Linked DNA regions of Mus musculus. The protein of the gene in region 2 purifies or fractionates together with the protein of the main gene of each other region. This does not show direct contact. Links are inferred from orthologs where the notes say so. Each region holds a gene or a part of one and is shown on either strand. Other genes may lie near its edges.

Region 1 (4,540 bases), on a different chromosome or scaffold from region 2:
AAGAACAAGGTAGATGGTTCTTGAGAAGCACTTCCCCGGGTTGACCTTTAATTTCCATATGCACATGACGACTCCTGAGGAAAACCACTGAAGGCTGACCTCTGACCTTTACATGCACAGGCATGCACACATATGAACATACAAAAAGGAAAAAAAAAAAACCCAAACCATGTAACAACAGCTCCAGAATTCCCAGGCCAGATCAAAGGCCATGACACACAACTGTCCTCAAAGCTCTGCCACCACTACCCCAGACCTGGGCTGCATGTACCAAATGCTTCCCACCGAACGATATAAGAGAAGAGAGGACTCAGCACAGAGAGGCTATGTAAGCCTCCCAAAGACAAACAGCAACTGGACATGAAAACCCTATAGAGCTGGGTGGTGGTAGCCCATGCCTTTAATCCATCACTCAGGAAGCACAGGCAGGTGGATCTTTGTGTTGGAGGCCAGCCTGGTCTACAAAGGGAGTTCCAAGACAACTAGAGCTACACAGAGAAACTATGCCTCAAAAACAAAACAAAACACCTTGGTCAGATGATCACCTCCTGCTCCAACCCTGGGGCACCCACTTGCAAAGCAGGTGACAGAGTCCTCACCTGGCTGTACCCCACCCCCACACCCCTGTGCAAATTCTGCTAGATGCCTGAGTAATGACACTGTGTAGTCAAAATAAAAAGGGTTCCAACTATGTTGGGGCCAGGAGGTGGCTTTCCCCAGAGAAGCTTAGGACAAACAGGTTGCCTGGGTAATTTCTTGCACAGAGGGGACTCTGCTCAGCATTTAACCCAATATAACCCAACATGTGCTGGCTGGGCCCTCCCAGGGGTAGACAGCCCACAACTGCAGGAACCTCCTCCAGGGGGCCAGACAGGCTAGGCTGGTCCAGGGACAAGTGAGTGCTTTAGGCGGTGAGAAGGAAAGCCTAGGGCTTCCAGAATGGGGAATTCAGGGACCACTAGAACAAAGGCTTTTCTGTGGGCTCACAGCTTCAATTTGCAACAGGAAGCAATCAGGAAAAATAATTAGCTGCCCACTCACTCCCTTCTCTCCAGACTCCCAAAGCAAGAATCTCAGACAGACATTTGGGGGTCGCACAGCCAAAAACACTCAAATAAGAGCTTCAGGAAGATTCTTCTCTTTGCTTCCATTTTAGGCCTGGACTACCCCATCAGCTGGTACTCCTGGGGCCTGGCTTCCTAATGTTAAAATAATCGACTCTATTTTTGCCGCACACACCACCAAACTATAAAGATGTTCAATTTGGGATACCAGATGACAGGCTAGGGGATCCCAGAGTAATGTCAATCCTACCTAGGACAGGAAAGTCGGCTTACAAACCCCACCTTTAAAACAAATAGCTGCCCCATACCCCTTCTGCAGTCACGACCCAGGCATTTCCGGGAAGAGTAGAACTGGCCTGGACTTCCCACAGCCTGTCACAGTTTTGTCTTCGCCTTGTTTTGCTAACACCAGAGATGGCCTGAAAATGTAAACATGATCCCGAGGGAGACAAATTTAGGGGGAGACTCCCCAAGAGCCCTCTGGCTGAGCTTGAGAGCTCCAAGACTGGATGAAGCCAGCTCCCCTCGACCCCTCCCCCCAAACATAGGTGGAAGAGACTGCAGCCCAGGGAATCTGAGCACAGAGCCAGGCCCAGCCACCTCCCTCAAGTGTCTACCCTGGAAATACACAGGGGGACAGCTGTTCGCCTTAATAAGGCCCAGACAAAGGGACCTGAGGTTGTCCCCTACCCCGCCCCAAACTGCCATCACCACCACCCGGGAGTTCAAGAGTATCTGCCGGACCCTTGGACAGCCACACTCCAGAAAAACAAAACACAAACACCCGAAAACAATGATTTAGGTGGCAAGAGCCTTGCTTTAAAAACCACATGGCAATCTCCGAATTAAAAGAACATGTGTAGCGTTTCCAACTGCTTCGTTTCTCGAGAGTCCTCCTGACCTCAGCTCCACCCCTCAGGACACACCAAAAAAAAGTTAGAAAGTTCCCGAGCGGGCCACTTCCCTAAAGGTGGGTCCAACTGAGGCAGAACCATACCTCCCCACACCAAGGCACCCACGCAACCGATCTCGGGGCTGGGCACTGGTCAGCGGGGCTGGGTGCCTGGCCACCGCTTGGGGGCCCGAGCGGTCAGATGGGTCACTGGGGTCACGGGGACACCTGGCAGGTGTCAGTCGGTTTGGAAGGCTGACAGCCCACGCAGGTCAAAGCGACAGCAGCCCAGGGCCAGGCCGCCCCGCGCAGGGCTCTCCGAACTTCCTAGCTAGCAACTTCTGGCACTTCCCAGGGCTCGGTAGGCCGGCCGCCGCAAGCAGGCTCGCGAAAAGTTTTCCCAGTAGTTCGCGATAGGCCAGGCCTGTCCCGGGCCATCGCGATGCCCGTGGGCGCACTCCTGAGCGCGCCCGGCGTCCCGAGCCTTGGGCAGGTGAGGGCCCGCCCGCGCCGCACCTGGCGGGCTCGGTCCCCAGGGAGGGGCCCCGGCGGGAGAGACAAAGGGCCCGCGCGAGGTCCCCCGGCGCGTGGTCCCCCGGAGCGCGCTCCAACTCGTCCGCAACTTGCAAAGTGGCTGCTTGCGGCCCCGGCCATTGTCCCCCGCGCCCACCTTACCCGCGGCGGGGACCAAGCTGCAGTACAGCACCAGCAGCAGCAGCGGCGGCGGCGGCGGCGGAGGGGCCCGGGTCGGCGCCGTTTCCATGTCGTCCGGCGGCCGGGAGCGCCGCGCGCTCACTCGGGCTCCATGGCGCGCGCGGCGGCGGTGGATCCTCGCGGCTCCCGGCGCCTCTTGCTCCCGCCTCGGGCGCCGCGGCCCAAGACGACGCGGGAGGAGGGAGCGGAAGCCGAGCCGGTCTCCGCCCCCCGCGCCGCCCGCGCCCCCCGCCAAGCCGCGCCCTCCTGCGGGCGCCCGGGAGCCGGGCAGGCGGGTCTCTCCGGGCCCGCGACAGGAGAGGCCGGGCAAGCAGGTGGGTCACCTGCCAAGTCTCTGTACTGACAGGTGAGGAAACTGAGGCACGTGGAAGCATGACCCACACAGTCAGGAGGCCTCAGGGCTGGAAGCCAAAGGTCTCCGAAGCCAGCTTTGGGCTCTTTCACCACAACTGTAGCCACCTGGCCCAGAGACATACCGCCCCACTTGGGATGCACGCGGGAACAGGCGCAAAAGCGGATACTGCTGGAGGAACTGGGGGCTTTTACTTTTAGATTTACTTTTTGTTGTATGTGTATGAGTGTTTGCACGCATGTATGTGCACCACATGCGGGAAGGAAACCAGAATAGGGTGTGGGGGTCCCCTGGGACTGGAGTTAGAGGTGTGAGCCACCAGGTGACTGCAGGGAACCAAACCCAGGTCTCTAAAAGAGCAGTAAGTGCTTCTAACTGCTGAGCCTTCTCTCTCCGGCAGTGCTTTCTAGAACCTCACACCTTGGGCAGGCAGGTGTAGGTGAAATCATTTCATGTCCTTAGAAAGTAAGCTAATGGCAGTGTCCACCTTGCAAGGTAGAGAGGAAGGACAGAAGCTGAGGTGGTCAGGAGGGTGCCTCTGCCCTCCTGTGGTTTATGCTAGGAAGAGACAAAAATAAGAGCCCAAACAAAGGAGTGAGTAGCCGGGAAAGTGACATGGCGCTCAAGTGTGTATGACTTTACTTATAAGTCTGACATGGTGTCCAGCCTCGGGAGATTGAGGCAGGAGGCTTGCCATGAGTTTGAGGCCAGCCTGGGCTACCTGCGAGACCCTGTTTAAAAAGAGTTGATAGAGCCCTTGGTTCCCTAGTGTGCACAGCTCTCCCAGCGCTGCATAAACCGGACCTGATAAACAGAAGGAGCAAAAGGCAGGTCAAGGCTGGCCAGCAAGATGGCTCCCGTTGACCTAAGTTCAACCCTAGGATCGCAGAAGAAAAGAGAACTGACTCCCCAAACTTGTCTTCTAATAGGAAAACATGAAGACCAGGGACCAGCTAGTAGGGGGAGGGGACCCACACCAGGGTTCCAAGGGTCAGGGCAGAGATTTCAATGCGGAAGCAGGCCAGTGGTTCAGGAAGAGCAGTCTCCTGGGGTGGCTGTATCCAGTCTCTGACCGGAAGAGGAGTCAGGAGGTCTCAGGGGCAGTCAGGGGACTGGGGACTAGAGCAGCTAGTGTCCTTGCTGGTTCCTTCTCACCCAAGCCCAACCCCCATCCCCCCTCCACCTTCAACACAGAGCCAAGAGCACAACCCCCTTCTCTAGCCCCACTCTCACCCATCCCCCAAGGCCTTCCTCTTTCAGCCTTGATTTTTCTGAGGCCTCCTCTCCCTGCAGCCAGGGAGCTTGTTAAATAAGCCAGACCTCACCACTCCTCCCACCGGTCAGAGAGGAAGCTGAAGCCTTGGGCTCACACGGCCTGGCCTAGCCACACCTCCGTTACTTCTCAACTCCATCTTATGGGCTGCAACTGTAATGGCCCCTTGCAGAGATGGGCACTGTCTTGCCTGGGGGAGGGCCTCATTGCTGGGACTCTTATCCCACTTAGTTCTTGAAAACCAT
Region 2 (4,270 bases):
GAGGCCACCAGACGCACCTTGCGCGAGCGCGGCGCCGCGCCCCCGGGGCACAGCAGCTGCACCCGCTGCGCGCGGTAGCGATCCGGGATGCAGCGGAAATCCGGTCCGTTCGGGCGCCACCACTTCACGCGCCCGATGGCGTTGGGCAGCAGCCGCGCGGGGCCGCACTGGCCGGAGCACACCAACTCGGTGACCGGCTTGGCGCTGCGGCATGGGCCGTCTGTCAGGAAGCGGGTGTAGTGCAGCTCGCGGCAGCTGTACTCGGACACATCTGCGGAGAGAGGGATGCGTGAGGGGCTGCAGCCTAGGCCAGACTGGTCTGCTCCTTCCACCCTTCTCTCTTTTTCCAAACCTGCCCTGCGCTTTCGAATCTGTATGGATTATAGGAAGGAGGCACCGGGGAGCAGTGAGATCCCACCCTGGCTTCTCTCTCCCTGTCCTTGGAACCCAGGGATGAAACACTGGAGCTCTGTCACTTACTTTCTTTGTGATCTGTGGGCAGGGTACTTAAAGTTGCTTTTCCCCACATCTGTAAAATAGGTTGCCCCAGGATTCAACGACTTCATCCACTATTACATCGGGCACTACGTGGCACAGAATCAGAATTGGCAGCTTTTGAGATTGGGTTTTTATGTAGCCCAGGCTGGCCTCAAACTGGCTGTGTAGTTAAGGATGGATGGTCTTGAACTTCTCAGCGCCCATCTCCACTTCTCCGGTACTAGGGATCCCACCCAAGGCTTTGTGCCTACTAACCAAACACTCTTCCAGTTTAGCTCCTCATCCCCAGCCCTGCCTGGTAGCCTCTAGCCACACCTGGCTCTGGTCCTTCCTAAGCTCCTTTACCAGCCACTGGGACAGGGGCGGTATCCCAGGAGATGGAGAAAGGAGTGGAGGTTAATTGAAGGTAATAAATCAGGACAGCTGCTGTGGAGGAGCGGGGTAGAAGGGCAGGTGGTAGGGATAAGAATTCATTAGACTTGAAAGCGACCAAAGGCGGCGCGTCCAACCCCCTCATTATCACAGGTCCAGGCTGAGAAAAGAACTTGCCCCAAAGGCAGGGCTGGGCTGCTTGCGGGGGGGGGGCGGGGGGGGCTACCTAGGATGCCAGGGCTCTCTGGCTCCCGCAAGGGTGAAAGTGATCTGTTATAGGACCCCAGGTGGGGGCGGGGCGGTGGCGAGTAGAGGGCCTTTCGCTCTTCACTCGCGACTTGGGTCGGAGTTCTGACCCAAAACCTATAGCTTTTGCTACCACAAGCATTTGTTTAGCACCTGCTGTATACCAGACTCTCTTGTTCTGTGTACCTTGAGCTGGTTACTCAAGGGTGGCTGGATCTGACTTAGAGTCTGTTCTCCGGGGAAGGAGATTGGGTTGGATGCCCAGCCATATCTTCTAGGTCTGATGCCTGCCCTCCTCTCTTGGACATGCTCTATCTCCTACCATGAGCTTAGATGGATGGGAGGCTTTTAACTAATCCATGTGTGGGTCCTGTCTACCTCCAAAAGTTCCATGGTGTCAGGATCAATATGACATAAAAGGAAAAAAAAAATCCCAGTACCAAAGCCAGAGGGGCAGAGGCCAGGATGCACCTTCACGGGGGGGGGGGGGGCACAACAGGGGGGAGGTGTAGGCCTTGCCACCCTTCTGTGGCTGGCTTAATTTACTCACCCCTGCAGAGGTGGTATGTGGGGGAGGCCTGTTTGCCCAGGGAAGGACTAGTTTTGGGGCTTTCCAAGAATAGTGCCCTTAGGTCAAGCACTTCCTCTGCAAAAACGTGACTGCATTGCATGCTCCTTTGGGGTGGCCCTTTCCTCCACATCCCTTACTGGCTAGGAGACAGGAGGGACAGCATGTGGTGGCAAGCTGGAAAATGAGCTCTCCTCCCACACAAATGGTGACCAGCAAGGTCATTTCTCTGGAGTGTCCCTCCAGCTGCCACCCCACCCCATTCATTGCTGCTAGTTCCGTGCGTGATACCCCCACCCCCACCCCAGGCATCTCTCTGTGCTGGCTCTGCCTCCACAGTTTCTGCTGTCCTCAGGAATGAGGCAAAGCTGGGGTCAGGGTGCAAGCTCAGGGCAAGTGGTGCCACCTGTGCTCATACAGGGGACATTTCACTCAGCTGCCCCTCATGTCACATGCCACCTACAAACCCTGTTCTTTTAATGCTAACCCTCTGGGCTCATTGAGCAGACCCTGGGCAAGGGGGAACTAAAGGGATTCCTCCTGGCTTCAGGTTCCCACCCAAACCCAATCTAGGGTTGCCTTGCATCTGGATCAAACCAGCTTCCAGTCTCAGCTCTTCTTACTCCCAGGTGACTTTATCTCAGGAGCCTCTCGGTTTCTCCATCTTCAAGCTGGGGCCTTCTTTACCTCATGTGGTGGTCATGTGGGATATAGTACAGCCATGGATGGCATCTGGCATCCAGCCTCACCATATCACTTCCCCACTGGTCAGCAGCTAGATCTGACCTGTGTCCTCATCCTTAGGAGGAGATTCTCTGGACCATCATACAAGCCCATGCCCGTGTTAATGCCAGCTTCGGCTGACCTCAGCCTCCACCCTGCCTTGGGTGCTCTCTACCAGCCCCCCAATGCTGCCCTCCAGGTTCTAATGCTGTGCTAGTATTCTTCCAGGCAAATGTGTCCCTGCCCTGATGTAGCAGAGGCTAGCCACCCACACAAACCTCTGAAGAAGATGCTAAAACCACCCCAGTCACCTCCCAGGACCCCCCCCCCCACTAATGTGCTTCTTCATCCCGTACCTTTGGCGTCATAGGGATGGTGGGGAGGTCTGCCTCCATTCTCCGCCCGGTTCATGGTCTGGTTGTTCTCAGGAGGAGGCTCGGGGTACTCTCCAAGCCCTGGGATGACCTCTGTGGCATCATTCCTGAAGGCTTGCCACCCCTGGCCCTCCACAGCACAGAAGGCAGCGTGCACAAGTAGGCAGATGAGGCACGGGGCTAGTGAGGGCTGCATGCTGCCAGGTGGAGGAGGGCACTCGGTAGCACAGGCTCCAGTGTCCAGCCTAGATACGGTTGCCTTTTTAAAGCCCCCTCTGCCTCATGCCAGCCAATAAGGACGGGCTGGAGCAGGGCTGGTCCCATGTTTCCTCACCCTCCTCCTCACGGGGGTGGGGTGGGGGGGGTGGAGAAGGGGTGTGCTTAGCGTCAGCCCTCCCAAGACTTCTCAAGCTCAGTAAACTTCCAAATTGCTGCTGGCACCTCCCAGGTGACCCGAGGAGTGTGTGTTGGGGGGGGGGGCGTTGGTGAGGCAGGGACACAGCCAGCTCTCCCAGTACCTCCCACGGGCAGGGCAGTCAGGCTGTGGTTTTCAGATATCAAAATGAGCTTGGCTTTTAATTGTCTGGCTCCCTGGGCCCCTCAGGCATTCTCAAAACAAACTGTGGGCCAGCTTAACAAAGGAAACAAGTGGGGCTTCTACAGAAGGCGGAATCCAGCTTGACCAAATTCCTCTAGCCAAGGTCATTTGTTACCCCTGCCAGCTAATGGTCTTAGTTAAAGGTGTTTGCTCCCCCCACCCACCCAGAGGCAGAAGGATGCCTTTTTGGGGGGTTGGGGGCAGATTCTGGGGACTCTAACCTAGGGTCTCACGCTTGCTGTGCAAGCACCCTACTATTGAAGTATGACCCAGCCCTGGGAAGGATGCCTTTAAAGGAATCCCATTGACCCCAGCTCCACATTGCTCAGCACCTACAATTCTGACCAAGGAGATCTCTCTTGAATTTCTCTTCAAAACCAGTGGGAGAGGCAACCACCAGGCAAGAGGGACCTGGGCTCCATTACATGTGATTCTTAGCCAGGGAACTCATGGTGACTTATAGGCTGGTGTGCCAAAGGCAGTTCCTTCCCTGGCCAGGCTTCTTGCGGCCAACACAGAATTTCATTTCTTAGCAAAAAATCATTTCCCTCATTATTTCTTAGCTTATTACATTACCCCCCCCCCCGTGTGTCTGTGTGGGTGCATGGGAGACCTGAGGAGGTGTCTTTCTCAGTCATTCTCCCAAGTTATTCCCTGAGACAGGATCTCTGACTGAGACATTTAGGTTAGGCTGGCTAGCTGGCCAGTAAGCCCCCAGAATCCACCTGCCTTTCCCCTCAACTCTGAGGTTAGAAGGTTATTTTTCCACATGGTTGCTGGGGATTCGAACTCATGTCTTCATGCTTGTACAGCAAGCACTCTTACCATATCATCTCCCCAGCCTCTTATGGTATCACAAACAGCTCTGGGTCCTAGATGTAAGATCCAAGG

What was found.
Region 1: the proteins of Sost (region 2) and Lrp5 purify together in Homo sapiens (affinity purification with mass spectrometry; 3 studies listed by BioGRID and IntAct, counting the BioPlex papers as one, with this or other methods). This does not show direct contact. The link is inferred for Mus musculus from reciprocal best matches to the Homo sapiens genes SOST and LRP5.

The regions. Positions count from the first base shown.
Region 1 is NC_000085.6:3,683,724-3,688,263, forward strand, and holds the start of Lrp5 (low-density lipoprotein receptor-related protein 5 precursor), read right to left. Parts: upstream 2,842-4,540; 5' UTR 2,720-2,841; coding exon 2,632-2,719; intron 1-2,631. UniProt on the Homo sapiens protein: Acts as a coreceptor with members of the frizzled family of seven-transmembrane spanning receptors to transduce signal by Wnt proteins.
Region 2 is NC_000077.6:101,963,997-101,968,266, forward strand, and holds the start of Sost (sclerostin precursor), read right to left. Parts: upstream 3,020-4,270; 5' UTR 2,978-3,019; coding exon 2,764-2,977; intron 606-2,763; exon of another isoform or gene 530-605; coding exon of another isoform or gene 481-529; intron 272-480; coding exon 1-271. UniProt on the Homo sapiens protein: Negative regulator of bone growth that acts through inhibition of Wnt signaling and bone formation.